Linked DNA regions of Mus musculus. The protein of the gene in region 2 purifies or fractionates together with the protein of the main gene of each other region. This does not show direct contact. Links are inferred from orthologs where the notes say so. Each region holds a gene or a part of one and is shown on either strand. Other genes may lie near its edges.

The links.
Region 1: the proteins of Wdr12 (region 2) and Pes1 purify together in Homo sapiens (co-immunoprecipitation; 7 studies listed by BioGRID and IntAct, counting the BioPlex papers as one, with this or other methods). This does not show direct contact. The link is inferred for Mus musculus from reciprocal best matches to the Homo sapiens genes WDR12 and PES1.
Region 3: the proteins of Wdr12 (region 2) and Bop1 purify together in Homo sapiens (affinity purification with western blotting; 6 studies listed by BioGRID and IntAct, with this or other methods). This does not show direct contact. The link is inferred for Mus musculus from reciprocal best matches to the Homo sapiens genes WDR12 and BOP1.

The regions. Positions count from the first base shown.
Region 1 is NC_000077.6:3,970,374-3,974,019, forward strand, and holds part of Pes1 (pescadillo homolog), read left to right. Parts: intron 1-251; coding exon 252-361; intron 362-2,823; coding exon 2,824-2,995; intron 2,996-3,075; coding exon 3,076-3,165; intron 3,166-3,646. UniProt on the Homo sapiens protein: Component of the PeBoW complex, which is required for maturation of 28S and 5.8S ribosomal RNAs and formation of the 60S ribosome.
Region 2 is NC_000067.6:60,087,770-60,091,415, forward strand, and holds part of Wdr12 (ribosome biogenesis protein WDR12), read right to left. Parts: intron 3,346-3,646; coding exon 3,251-3,345; intron 1,590-3,250; coding exon 1,483-1,589; intron 388-1,482; coding exon 272-387; intron 1-271.
Region 3 is NC_000081.6:76,474,354-76,478,766, forward strand, and holds the start of Bop1 (ribosome biogenesis protein BOP1), read right to left. Parts: upstream 2,897-4,413; 5' UTR 2,869-2,896; coding exon 2,776-2,868; intron 569-2,775; coding exon 395-568; intron 1-394. Other genes in the region: Hsf1 (heat shock factor protein 1), read left to right, coding at 3,248-3,364. UniProt on the Homo sapiens protein: Component of the PeBoW complex, which is required for maturation of 28S and 5.8S ribosomal RNAs and formation of the 60S ribosome.

The DNA.
Region 1 (3,646 bases), on a different chromosome or scaffold from region 2:
TCCCAGGTAAATGTGGTGTCAACATAGCCTTGCATCAGAGGCGGGGCCCTAAACCACCTCTGGTCATTATCATGGGTCTAGAGCTCCATGCAATGGGCTGTTTGGCATTCTTGAGCTGAGGGGCCTGTTGGCCCAGGCAAACAGGTATGACCAGTTTCAGAAAGCATTGAGAAGACCCTGCCCCATGTTCATCCTCCATAGAGGAGATGCTCAGAGGCCCTGGCCGAAGCCTCATTGGTCCCTTCTTCCAGGTGTTTGTTCGGAAGCTCCGCAAAGCCTATGGAAAGAGCGAATGGAATGCTGTGGAGCGCCTGAAGGACAATAAACCCTGCTACAAACTTGACCACATTGTCAAGGAGCGGTGAGTCCTGCACCTCAGAATGCTGCTGTTGCTGCTGAGTGCTGTCCTAGTGTTAGGGATGAAATGGGCTCAAGACCAGCACTTGACTGATAGTGCATGTCCTCTTAGAGGAGTTAGACCAAAAGCCAAGCTAGCAATCAGTCCTGATTGTAAGTAGCATTGGTTACAGTAAGGGTTGTAAGGCAGCATGGAGAGGGCTTAGGTGTATGGTACAATTGCATACTCAGAGAGGTGTCTGCAAAATGACCTATTTGGGGCAGCCAGGAATACACTTCATGAGCAGAGACAGCAGTACCTTCAAAGGCCCCATGGTGGAAGAGCTGGAGCCACTAGTTCCCATACTACAGACTTAGAAAGCATGGTAAGAGAGGTCTGGTCTTAACTGTTTCTTGCTCAGCCTTCCAAAGACCCCTCCCAGTCACTAGCTGATCAGTGACTTCTGCCTTTTCTGGGGAATTGGGCAAATGCCTGAAGACCCTTGTAGTTCCTACAGTTTGGATGGAAGCCAGCATTGGTGCTAAATATTCTTCAGTGTTCATAATAGTTTCCACAACACTTTGGCCTGGAACTAATTAAGTGTAGAACTACTAGGCTATTATCTCTGTTCTGTGCAGTGGTCTAGGCACACTTAGTTCCAGAATGAAGGGGCCTAGCTTCCTTCCTGGGATCTGGAGGGCCTTGGCCTGGAAGATAACAGTTGGTATCAGGAACTGGATGCCAGAGGACAGGAACTCCTGAGCAAGTACACGTTACTAACAGACATTTTGGTAGCTCCTGTCCTGCCTATGACATGACCTTTATATGGAAGAGATAGTGGGTGTGAATGAACCCAGAACAAGCACCTGGGTTCATTCACAAAGCAAAAAGTCTCCTTTACCAGAACCAAAGCCGGGTGGTCTAGAAGAGGCGTGTGCTTGACCTACAAAGGGCCTGGGGTGTTAGCTTTGTCTACAGAGTAGAAAGTTAGGAAACTTTGAGGCACCAAGGGGGCTGAAGAAGGATGCTTCCTCTGCCTCAGGAACCTAGGAAGCTGTCCCATCACCTGCCAGGTCCCTAAGGCTTCCCTTCATCTCTGCCTGCTTTTGAAGTCCTGGCAGCCCTCTCAGTTGTCGTAAGCAGTGTTGCCTGTGCCCTTCAGAGCCCTTTATAACATGGCAGGGCAATCTTAGTTGTTGTTGTTAAAGACAGGGTTTCTCTGGAGTTCTGGAACTTGCTCTGTAGACCATGCTGACCTAAAAAAATCTGCCCTGCCTCCCAAGTGCTGGAATTAAAGGTTTGAATGGTTTTTTGAGACAGGGTCTCACTAGCTCTGACTATCCTGAAATTCATTGGCCTCCAGCTCCCAGAGATCGCCCTCCCTCCCTCCCTCCCTCGCTCCCTCCTTCCCTCCCTCGCTCCCTCCCAAATGCTGGGATTAAAGGTGTGCTCCAGCACACCTGGAAAGACCTTTTCTCCCAGTGAGCCTTCCTAGACTGTGGTTTAGATGCTGGCAGCTCTGGGGATGCCGAGCTTGAGGAGGGAAACTGAGTCCTGCATATTTGTCTTTACTCGGTGTGTTTAGAGCCACAAGAGGTGGGTGGATTGGTGGTTTGATTTTTGAGATAAGATCTTATAGTGTAACCTAAGCTAGCCTGGAACTCAGGATACTTCTGCCTCAGTCTCCCAAGTGCCAGGACTGCAGGTGTGCACCACCACAGCTGCTTAAAGACACCGTATTTTAAGTCATTTTTGTTCAGCAGTGCCTTTTTCTAGATAAAGCTGGAGTTAGATGAGGCCTAGTGACCCAGTTAGGGTCACAGCTCAGTTCAGGTACCACGACTTGAGATGGAGTGTCTTTTGTGTCCCACACTTCTGTCCCTTTTTTTGGAAACCACCAAAGCAGTTGTGCTTTGACACCTTTTGAGACAGGTAAGACCCTATCTCAAAAAATCATTCAATCCCAGCACTCTTGCCCAAGTGATACTTTGTCTGCTTCTTCACTCACCACGGCGATCCTGGAAATCCGTGATTACTCTAACTGGACAGGGTCCCAGTTAGAGATGGATCTGTCAGATACATGCATCGGACTGCTGAGAAACGGGAAGACAAGACCACCCAGGTGCCAGTGCGCCTGGGGAAGGAAGCCCACTTTCCCTGGCCTACTAGGTCGACTTCCCGTTTTTCCTTTTTCTCTGTGGGCCTTTCCAGTTTCAAGTAGAGTCAAAGAGCCATCAACTTGGTGTCCTCGTTCACAGAAGGTAACATGGGGAAGGTTCCTGAGGTCCCAAGAGTTCACTGGAACTTTCTAGTTTTCAGTGGCTACAGGATTGTTTGCAGATGCATGGCCAGCTGTGGGAAAGTTGTTGCTATCACCATCTGAGGAAGTAGCTGTGGCAGTGCCTAGCTTGGGTGTCAAGGCCTCTGGATAGAGGGCCTTGGAACCCAATGGAGTGGGCATGAATGCTGCCCTCTCCACCCTGCAGGTACCCCACATTTATCGATGCTCTGCGGGACCTCGATGATGCCCTGTCAATGTGCTTCCTCTTCTCCACCTTCCCTCGGACTGGCAAGTGTCATGTGCAGACCATTCAGTTGTGCCGTAGGCTCACTGTGGAGTTCCTGCACTATGTCATCACTGCCCGAGCCCTGCGCAAGGTGAGCTGAGGCTCTTCTGGGGAGCCCTGGTCCTGCCCTGTCACTCCTTGGCTTTCATGCTGTTCTCCCTCCCTCCCCAGGTCTTCCTGTCCATTAAAGGCATTTATTATCAGGCTGAGGTGCTGGGTCAGCCCATCGTATGGATTGCACCCTATGCTTTCTCCCATGATGTAAGTGTGCCTGTTGGCAGGGCTTTGTGCTGTTTCCTGGAAAGGTGTTGGTGGGGTGCTGTCTTGGAGTCTAGCCCTTGCTTGGTTCCTGATTATTGGCAGCTACGCGTGATGAGAGCCAGGGACAGAATAGGGACTATGCTCTACAGCCCAGTCGGTCAATAACCCTGATCAGTCACAGTTCTCAGTGTGATATGAGCATAGACGCATAGGCTAAGCCTGACTGTCCACTCCAGCACCCCTGCTAGAGCAGTGCTTCTCAGCCTTCCCGACACTGCCATTCTTTAACAGGCTTCCTCATGCTGTGGTGACCCCAACCATAAAGTTATCTTTGTTGCTACTCCATAACTAAATTCACTGTTATAAATCATAATGTAAATATCTGATATGAATATGGTCTTAGGTTACCCACACATTGAGAACCGCTGTGCTAAATGGTCTTGGACATGTTCCTTCACCTTCTGCTTCAGTTAATATGCTA
Region 2 (3,646 bases):
GAAACAGCTCAGTGGTTAAGGGCACTGACTGCTTCTCTAAAGGGGATTCGTGACACCAGGCATGAACACTTTACACACGTGAATGCATGCAGCAAATACTCAGACACATAAAGTTAAATAAGTAAATCTTAAAATATATAATCCTTTCTTTCTATTTCTGAGAGACCTCATAGCAACTAAGGCTTGAAGCATTTCTTACCCAATCACTCTTTTGCTACACTAAAATTAGTTCAATTTTAAACTCTTAAATTCTTTTTATGTAGAATCTTACCTTTTTTCACCCAAGCCACATCTTTCACAACATCTGTATGTCCCACAATTGTCATTATCGACTTTCCTTCCAAGGACCAGATCCGAGAAGTCTTATCATAAGAACCAGACAGGATCCTACAATGAGGGGAAAATGCTATAAAATACAGAATGACTTTGAAGCCCTGAAAACCAATCCTTTCTATGGCAATGACAAAGTAAACTATGAACAGTAAACCCTTCTTTTTATGAAGAACAAGATTTCAAAGCAAAGCAATAGGTCAGATGTTATACTAAAATATGGTATTTCACCTTTGTTACTGTAAAACTGAAAATGTCACCAATGCAATACAATCTGCTTATAAAGCCTAACAATCCTTAATCCCTGAAAACTATTAAAGAGCAAAAACACGGGTGGGGATGTAGCTCAGTGGTGGAATACTTGCCCAGCAAGCAGAAGCCTCTGGGTTTGATGTCTAGCATAGTAGTACACCTTTAATCCCAACACTTGGAAGACAGAAGCACGAGTTCTCTGAGTTCAAGGCTAGCCTAGTCTACATAGGGAGTTCCAAGATGGCTAAGCAGTAAAGCACTTGCTGCAAAACCCAATGGCCTGAGATCAGTGCCCAGAACCCACATGAAGGTGGAAGGTGAGACCCAACTTGATAGAGTTGTTTTCTGCCACATGTTTTACACACATGTACAATGGCACGACCATGACTGACACACACACACACACACACACACACACACACACACACACTTCACAAAGCAAAATACCTAATAAAATGAAGGCCAGAAGTAAGCTACCAGTTAGGATGATGATCAGCTGTAGGTATTTGCTCTAAGATTAGCATTCATACCTCTTTGACAGCAGGCTGCCCATGTTGGCTCTACAGTAGTATGTCTGCAACTTCATGGTAGCAGGCAGGGATAGCTATAAAAAATTAAATTTTCTCTTCCATGAAGATATCTCTGGTCTTAAATATCAATATCTGCTGACTTATATAGACTATAAAGGTCATGCCACAACATTTTGAAACAAAGAAACCTACTAATAAACACTTGTTTTCTTGAATACACTGGCTGCAAAAAAGCCAATTTGGTGTGGCCACCAACATACACAGCTTGGATTTATTTTTATGAAGAAAAAGAGACCAGAGAAGTAGTCACATGGTGCATGGCAAAGACTGAAGGAGGTACAGAAGAGAACAGCATATCCCCACGGCATACCATTCTTCTGCCCCTTCAATTGAGCTGATCCAGTCATCATGGAACATGCACTGCTCTGGCTGGGGTGCGGTGTACTTTTCCACATATTCTAGTTCCACAACCTCTTCCTAGTCACAGAGAGAGTAGAAAATAAGTCAGGGACAGTTTTAAAATATTACCTTGAAGACAGAAAATATGGGAGCCATTTAAAAGTTAAGATTTCAGCTTGGTGTGGTGGTATACCCCTTAATCTTAGTACTTGGGAGGCAGAGGCAGCTGATTTCTGAGTTCAAGACTGGCTTGGTCCACAGTGCAAGTTACAGAATGGCCTGTCTTGACACTCCCCCATACCCCCTGCACCCCCGTGCCCCCTCCCCCTGCAAAGACTGGCTAAAATGTTAAGTATGCTCTTATATTCTATAATATCTTAAAATCACAAGATTTTATAAACAATTACAAATTATATTTTAAACAATTTTATTACATTAATCTATTTTGTGTGTTTGCACGCATCCATGCATTCCACAGTGGAGGTCAGCGGATAACTTGTAGGAGTTGGTTCTCTCCTTCTACTATGCGGATCCTAGAGAGGAACTCAGGTCAACATCAGGCTTTGTAGCCAGCGACTTTACTCAGTGAGCCATCTTGATGGCTCCAAATCTCTCCCCCCACCCTCCTTGACAGGGTCTCACTATATAGCCAGGTTGGCCCAGAACTCATAACATAGACCAGGCTGGCAATGAGCTTACAGAGACCTGCCTAGTTCTGCCTCTTGAGTGCTGGGATGGTACCATTACTTATAGCTGTATTCTTTTTGGTTTAGATTTTATTTATTTTGTGTGTATGGGTGTTTTGCCTGCATGTATGTCTATCATGTGTATACAGTATCCAGGAAGGCCCAAAGAGAGAGTCAGATCCCCTGGGACTGTTACTGACAACTGTTAGTCACAACATGGGTGCTGGGAACTGAGCCCAGAACCTCTCAAAGAGCAGACAGTGCTCTTAACCACTGAGCCATTTGTCTAACTCCTAGTGATATTCTTTTTTAAAAAAAAATGATTTATTTATATGAGTACACTGTCGCTGTCTTCAGACACACCAGAAGAGAGCATCAAATTCCATTATAGATGGTTGTGAGCCACCATGTGGTTGCTGAGAATTGAACTCAGGACCTTGGGAAGAGCAGTCAGTGTTCTTAGAACTGCTTATCCATCTCTACAGCCTCTGATATTCTTAATTAAAAAAACATCAAGGAAAACTAAAAAATTACAGGGGAGGTATCACAATCACTGTAATCTAACCCACATTTTCTAAGATGTGCAATTATGCTGTACTCCTGTTTAGCAGTATACATATACTTATTCCTTTTCTTACTAATGCTTTCACAGACTTAAAGACTGTATCAACTCCTTTGCATTTTCTTGAATAAAATACTCTTAGAGGAGCTCTACAAGATGACTATATAGAAACATAAATTCAAGTTTCTGGTGAGTGGTCAAAGGCGCTTGCTGGGAAGCCTGAGGTCCTGAGTTCAATCCCTGGGACCCACAGAAGAGAACGGATTCTCACCAAATATCTCCTTACCTTCACACACAGGTTATGGCAGCTACACATACCATACCATATCATACCATCAATCAATCAATCAATCAATAAGTAAATACAATTTTAAAATGTTTTCTAAGACTCCTAAATGTTGAAAACAATTTAAACTAATTCCATACGGATTCACTCATAATATAATATTTTGTAATGCGTTAAATCAAATAGAAGCAGTGCTCGGACTTACCGATGAAATGTTCTCCAGTTCCATGTGTTTGACCAAGGGCACTCGAAGAAACTGGCCCTTGATAAGGAAATCAAACTCGACATGCTTGTGGAGTTCTGAAAAAGAATTAGGGCCTTAGAATATCCTTGCCGAATGTACGAGAACCCCCACGCAATCAAGTACACAGCACCCACTGCGGCCTCAGTTACTCCACAGCTTCTCCTGGGACATCACACAGATATTACATCCTAGCATACTGCATGCTTTTTGTTTGTTTGTTTTTGAGTTAGGGTCTCTGTACTGGAACTCACAGATGTCCACCTGACCTTATCCTGAGTGCTGGGATCAAAGGTGTGTGCCACTATGCCACCTGGCTACATGACTTTTAAAGAACCAATATATTTCATTCTGTTAGCT
Region 3 (4,413 bases), on a different chromosome or scaffold from region 2:
CTGGTCTCTCCTGCTTTTTCTGCTGAACATCCTCCCTCGCAAACACGTACCACTGGCACCCCTAGCAGGAGCATCCCATCTCAGGCTCTGTCTCTAGAAAACTCAAGACGATCCCTAGACCAGTGTCAGCCCGTTGTCCCATAGAGGTGGTCTGAGAATTGTCTGACGAGCAAAGACATGAGCACGTGGGCATTCGTCATTCTCAGGAAAGGCACAGACAACTGAGGTTACAAACCCTGGAGCTCAAATGTGTGACGAGGGACGGATAGAGGACCAGGTTCCCGAGGACACCACGAAGGGGACAGTGTGAAGCGGACAGCTCCCAGGCAGGCACTTCCTCTTTCTGGCCATCCTCATGTGCAGGAGAGCCCATGGAAGCTGGTCCCTCACCCACCTGTGCCAGCTCCTCAGAGGTCTCCTCTGCCCTATGGTTGTCTTCGTCACCGCTGGATCCGGCCACTCCTTCAGTGTCTTCCTCACTCGAGTCACTGCCCAAATCTTCGAGGCCTGAAAACACACTCTCCTCGCTGTCAGAGAGACTGGAGTCAGGATCGCTGAGGAGAGGAGGCTGCAAGGAATCAGAGGGTTTAATAACTGCCACCTGGAAGCAGGTGCCTCTGGTCACACACTTCCGTCTGCGCCGAAACCACTCACCCGGCCTGGAACCCTCCTCCTCTCCTGCCTCTGTGGACAGAACCTGCCCTCGGAGCAGACACACCAGTCCCCAGAGCCGTGCAACAAACAGAGGGAACCTTTCAAGAACACACTGGCTTTGTGGGGATCAGTTTCTTCTCACTGTGCCACCAAAACCAAGTTTCCTCCACGGACACACTCCACACCCTACTGTCACCTAAGGGTCCTGAAACTGACACCAGCTTGGAATGGGACCCTGGGCCTGGGGGGGATTAGAACTCCCTGGAGGCTCTGACCAGCTGCAACAGGAGGCTTCTTTACCCTGACGACCAGGACCAAGCCCTGACGGACAAGTCGGAAAGCTGAAGATTAGCAAGATAAGCCTATGTGTTGGTTTGAATGACAAGAGCCCCCCACCCCCCTATACGCTCATACATTTGAATGTTTGGTTCCCAGGGGATGGATTGCTGAAGAAAAATTAGGAGGCGTTGGTAGGTCACTGGGCGTGGGCTCTGAGGCTTCAAAAATCCACATCAAGCCTAGAATCCCTCCCTCTTCCTCTCTCCCAGCTCATCAAGATATAAGAGAAGCTCTTAATTGCTGCTCCAGCACAATACTCTCTGCCATGGTGGTCAAGGACCAACCCGCTAAAACTGCAAGCAAGCTTCCAAGTAAGCTCTTCCTTTGATAAGGTGCCTTGGTCTTGGTGTTTCATCCCAGTGCCAGACAAACAAACCATCTGCTGTCTTTTTTTTTTTTTTTTTGAACAGAGAATCCTGTGAGTACAGCCCTAGAGGCCACTTTACAACGAACACAATAAGACATTCAAGCATTGTGAACAGTTTTCTATCACTGACCTCCAAAAGTTGAACAAGTACTTGAACACTGGAGGAAGCATGTGACTGCACCTAGTACTCACACTGTAGACCAAGCTGACCTCGAACTAACGGAGGTCATCTGTCTCTGTCTTCTGAGTGCTGGGATTAAAGATGGGTGCCAATGCCGCTGGCTAGTTCTTGTCTACCTGAGTGGCCTTCGCTGCCAATCATCACAGTGATCACCTGAGTTTCCATAGATGTCACACTGACATTCTCTTATTATTGACATCTCTAAAACTACGCTACTTGTCATACTAACAAGTAAAAGTACTGCACGCAGTTAGGGCATAAACAACTGACTATTAAAGGCTTACTGCCTAGAACTACACAGAGGGAAAAGCTTAGGGGCGTTTCATAAAACAAAGGGACAACTTACGTAGTGGTTCTCAACCAGTGGGTCACAATCCCTCTGGGGCGAGCAACCCTTTCATAGACTATCCTGCATATCAAATAATTACGATTCATAACAGTAGCAAAATTACAGTTATGTTTTCTTTTTGGTTTTTTCGAGACAGGGTTTCTCTGTGTAGCCCTGGCTGTCCTGGCACTCACTTTGTAGACCAGACTGGCCTCGAACTCAGAAATCCACCTGCCTCTGCCTCCCAAGTGCTGGGATTAAAGGCGTGTGCCACCACCACCCGGCAAAATTACAGTTATGAAGTAGCAGCGAAAATGATTTTGTAGTTGGGAAATCACCGCAACACGAGGAACCGTATTAAAAGGGCCACAGCATTAGGAAAGTTGAGAACTTTGAGGATCCAATTCAGTGGAGTCAGCTGTGCATGCCTTCTACCACCTACATTTGATGAATGTAGCAAGCCTACTGAGCTTAGCAACATGGACTAGCAATGGTTCCATGACAACCAGTTCTGGATGCCCTGGGTTCCAATCAGACTTCCATAATCTCAAGTCCTCTTTTGATTCACAACACACCTGACATGCTGGCTTGGTAGCACAGCACGAGCGCAATTACAACCTTTCCCAGGACAGGAAGCACAGATGGAAGGTCCAGAGACTATGGTGAGGGGACTCTTAAAGGTCTCTCCCTTAACACGGTTCAAGCCACAGAACTATCCCCCGGGTTCCAGCGCCCCTCGGCGCAAGTAATGTTCTGCTGAGAGTTCCAAAATAACAGCCCAGACTGGACGATCAGGCTCTAGGCGACCCACACGACACTACACGCTGCGCCACGGCCCGGCCTCCCTGGTCTTGCCAAGTGCCTGCATGGTTCCCAGAGGGATGCTGTCCGCTACTTGGAAGTTACCTCTTGTATCTGCAGCTCCTGATCAGGTTCCAAACGTCGTTTCCCCGGCAGCGATGCCGGTGACATGTGGGGCTTACCACACGCCCCCGCCATGCTGCGCCGCGCCGGCTACCGATCTACTGCCGCTTCCGGCAGCGGGAGCGCCTCGTGTGCCCCCAGCCAGGCTCCGCCCTACCAGGCTCTGATTGGTGAGCAGCCCGGGTGAAGCCATCTTGCGCAGGCGTAGGGTGCGGCGCAAGGGCTGGGCCGGCAAAGTAGGCAGGGGAGATCACGGCGCCTGCGCACAGAGGCTACAGGTCTGGCCCTAGCGAGAGCGCGCCGGTCGCAAGATGGCTGCGGCCATGCGAGGCCTTGCTGTGTGTGCGCAGCGGGCGGCGGAGCGGCCCGGACGGCAGGGGCAGCGACGACACTAGCTCAGCCTTCAGCCACTCTTCTAAAAGGCCACCCCAGCCTCTGCCTGCTTTCGTCCGAGATGGATCTGGCCGTGGGCCCCGGTGCAGCGGGGCCCAGCAACGTCCCGGCCTTCCTAACCAAGCTGTGGACCCTCGTGAGCGACCCGGACACAGACGCGCTCATCTGCTGGAGCCCGGTAGGAGCTGGCATGGGCCGGAGCGGCCTTCGAGGGAGGGTCCTGTGGCGGGAGGGGACCTGCTTCGGAGAAAGCGGCCTGCGAGTTAGTCGGGCTCGCCCGGGTTCAGCCATCCTGGCATCCTAGAGGGAGGACGCCGCTGTCTGGGGAGGAAGTGCGCCCCGCCCCCAGAGCCACTCACGGAGAGTAGGCCGAGACCCCAAATCATCCTACATTTCACCCGGACAATAAGGACGGGGCTTCCAGTACAGGGTCTTTGCTCACAGAGAAATAGTTCCCAGAGTCCGTCTGCGTTTCTGCTTTTTAGGCAATCATTCAGAATAAGTGGAAGGCCTAAGGAATGCATGAGAGAAGAGCGAGAATAGGAGGATGTGGAGCCTAAGCTCAGCCCCGATAGTCTCCAGACGCCAGAGCAGTTTTGCCCGGCCCTCCAAGGGCCGTGTCGAACCCTGTTCTGTTGCCTGGCAGCGGACTGTGTACACCGCACACCCTGCTGGCCCTGCATCTCTGGCTGGCTTGCAGAGGTCGTTCCGTGTTTGTGTTAAGTTGGAAAGTAGAATCTGCTGTTCACATGTGGATTCTGAGGGCCAGAGCGCGCAGAGCTAGCCGATGGTGGTGGCCTGAAGACAGGCCACCCTGATTCAATGGGAACCTTTGGAGGGATGGAGGCGGCTAGGTGCCACCACCTTGACCTTCTGCAAGCCAAATCTGGCGGGTCTCTCGGTCTCTGCGGAGCACTGCCCCCTCGCACAAGTTTCTTAAGCTGGCAAGAATGGAGAAAAGGCCTGGGTGGCAGATGGAGGCCAAGGCTTCTGGCTCTCAGTTGCCTGTTTGTTTAAACTCTGCTCTGCCTAAAGGGTGTTTTGGGAATAAAGAGAAGACTAGAAAGCACGGAACTTCACTTTTCACGAGACGGTCTTTGTGATTATCCCATGGGCTATCCGTGGGCCGCGTTGTTTTCCTGAATGCCATATTCAGTTCACAGCCTGTCCTGGATTTCATACACCTGGGCAGAGAGTATGATCTTACCTTTCTATCTTTCCCCAATT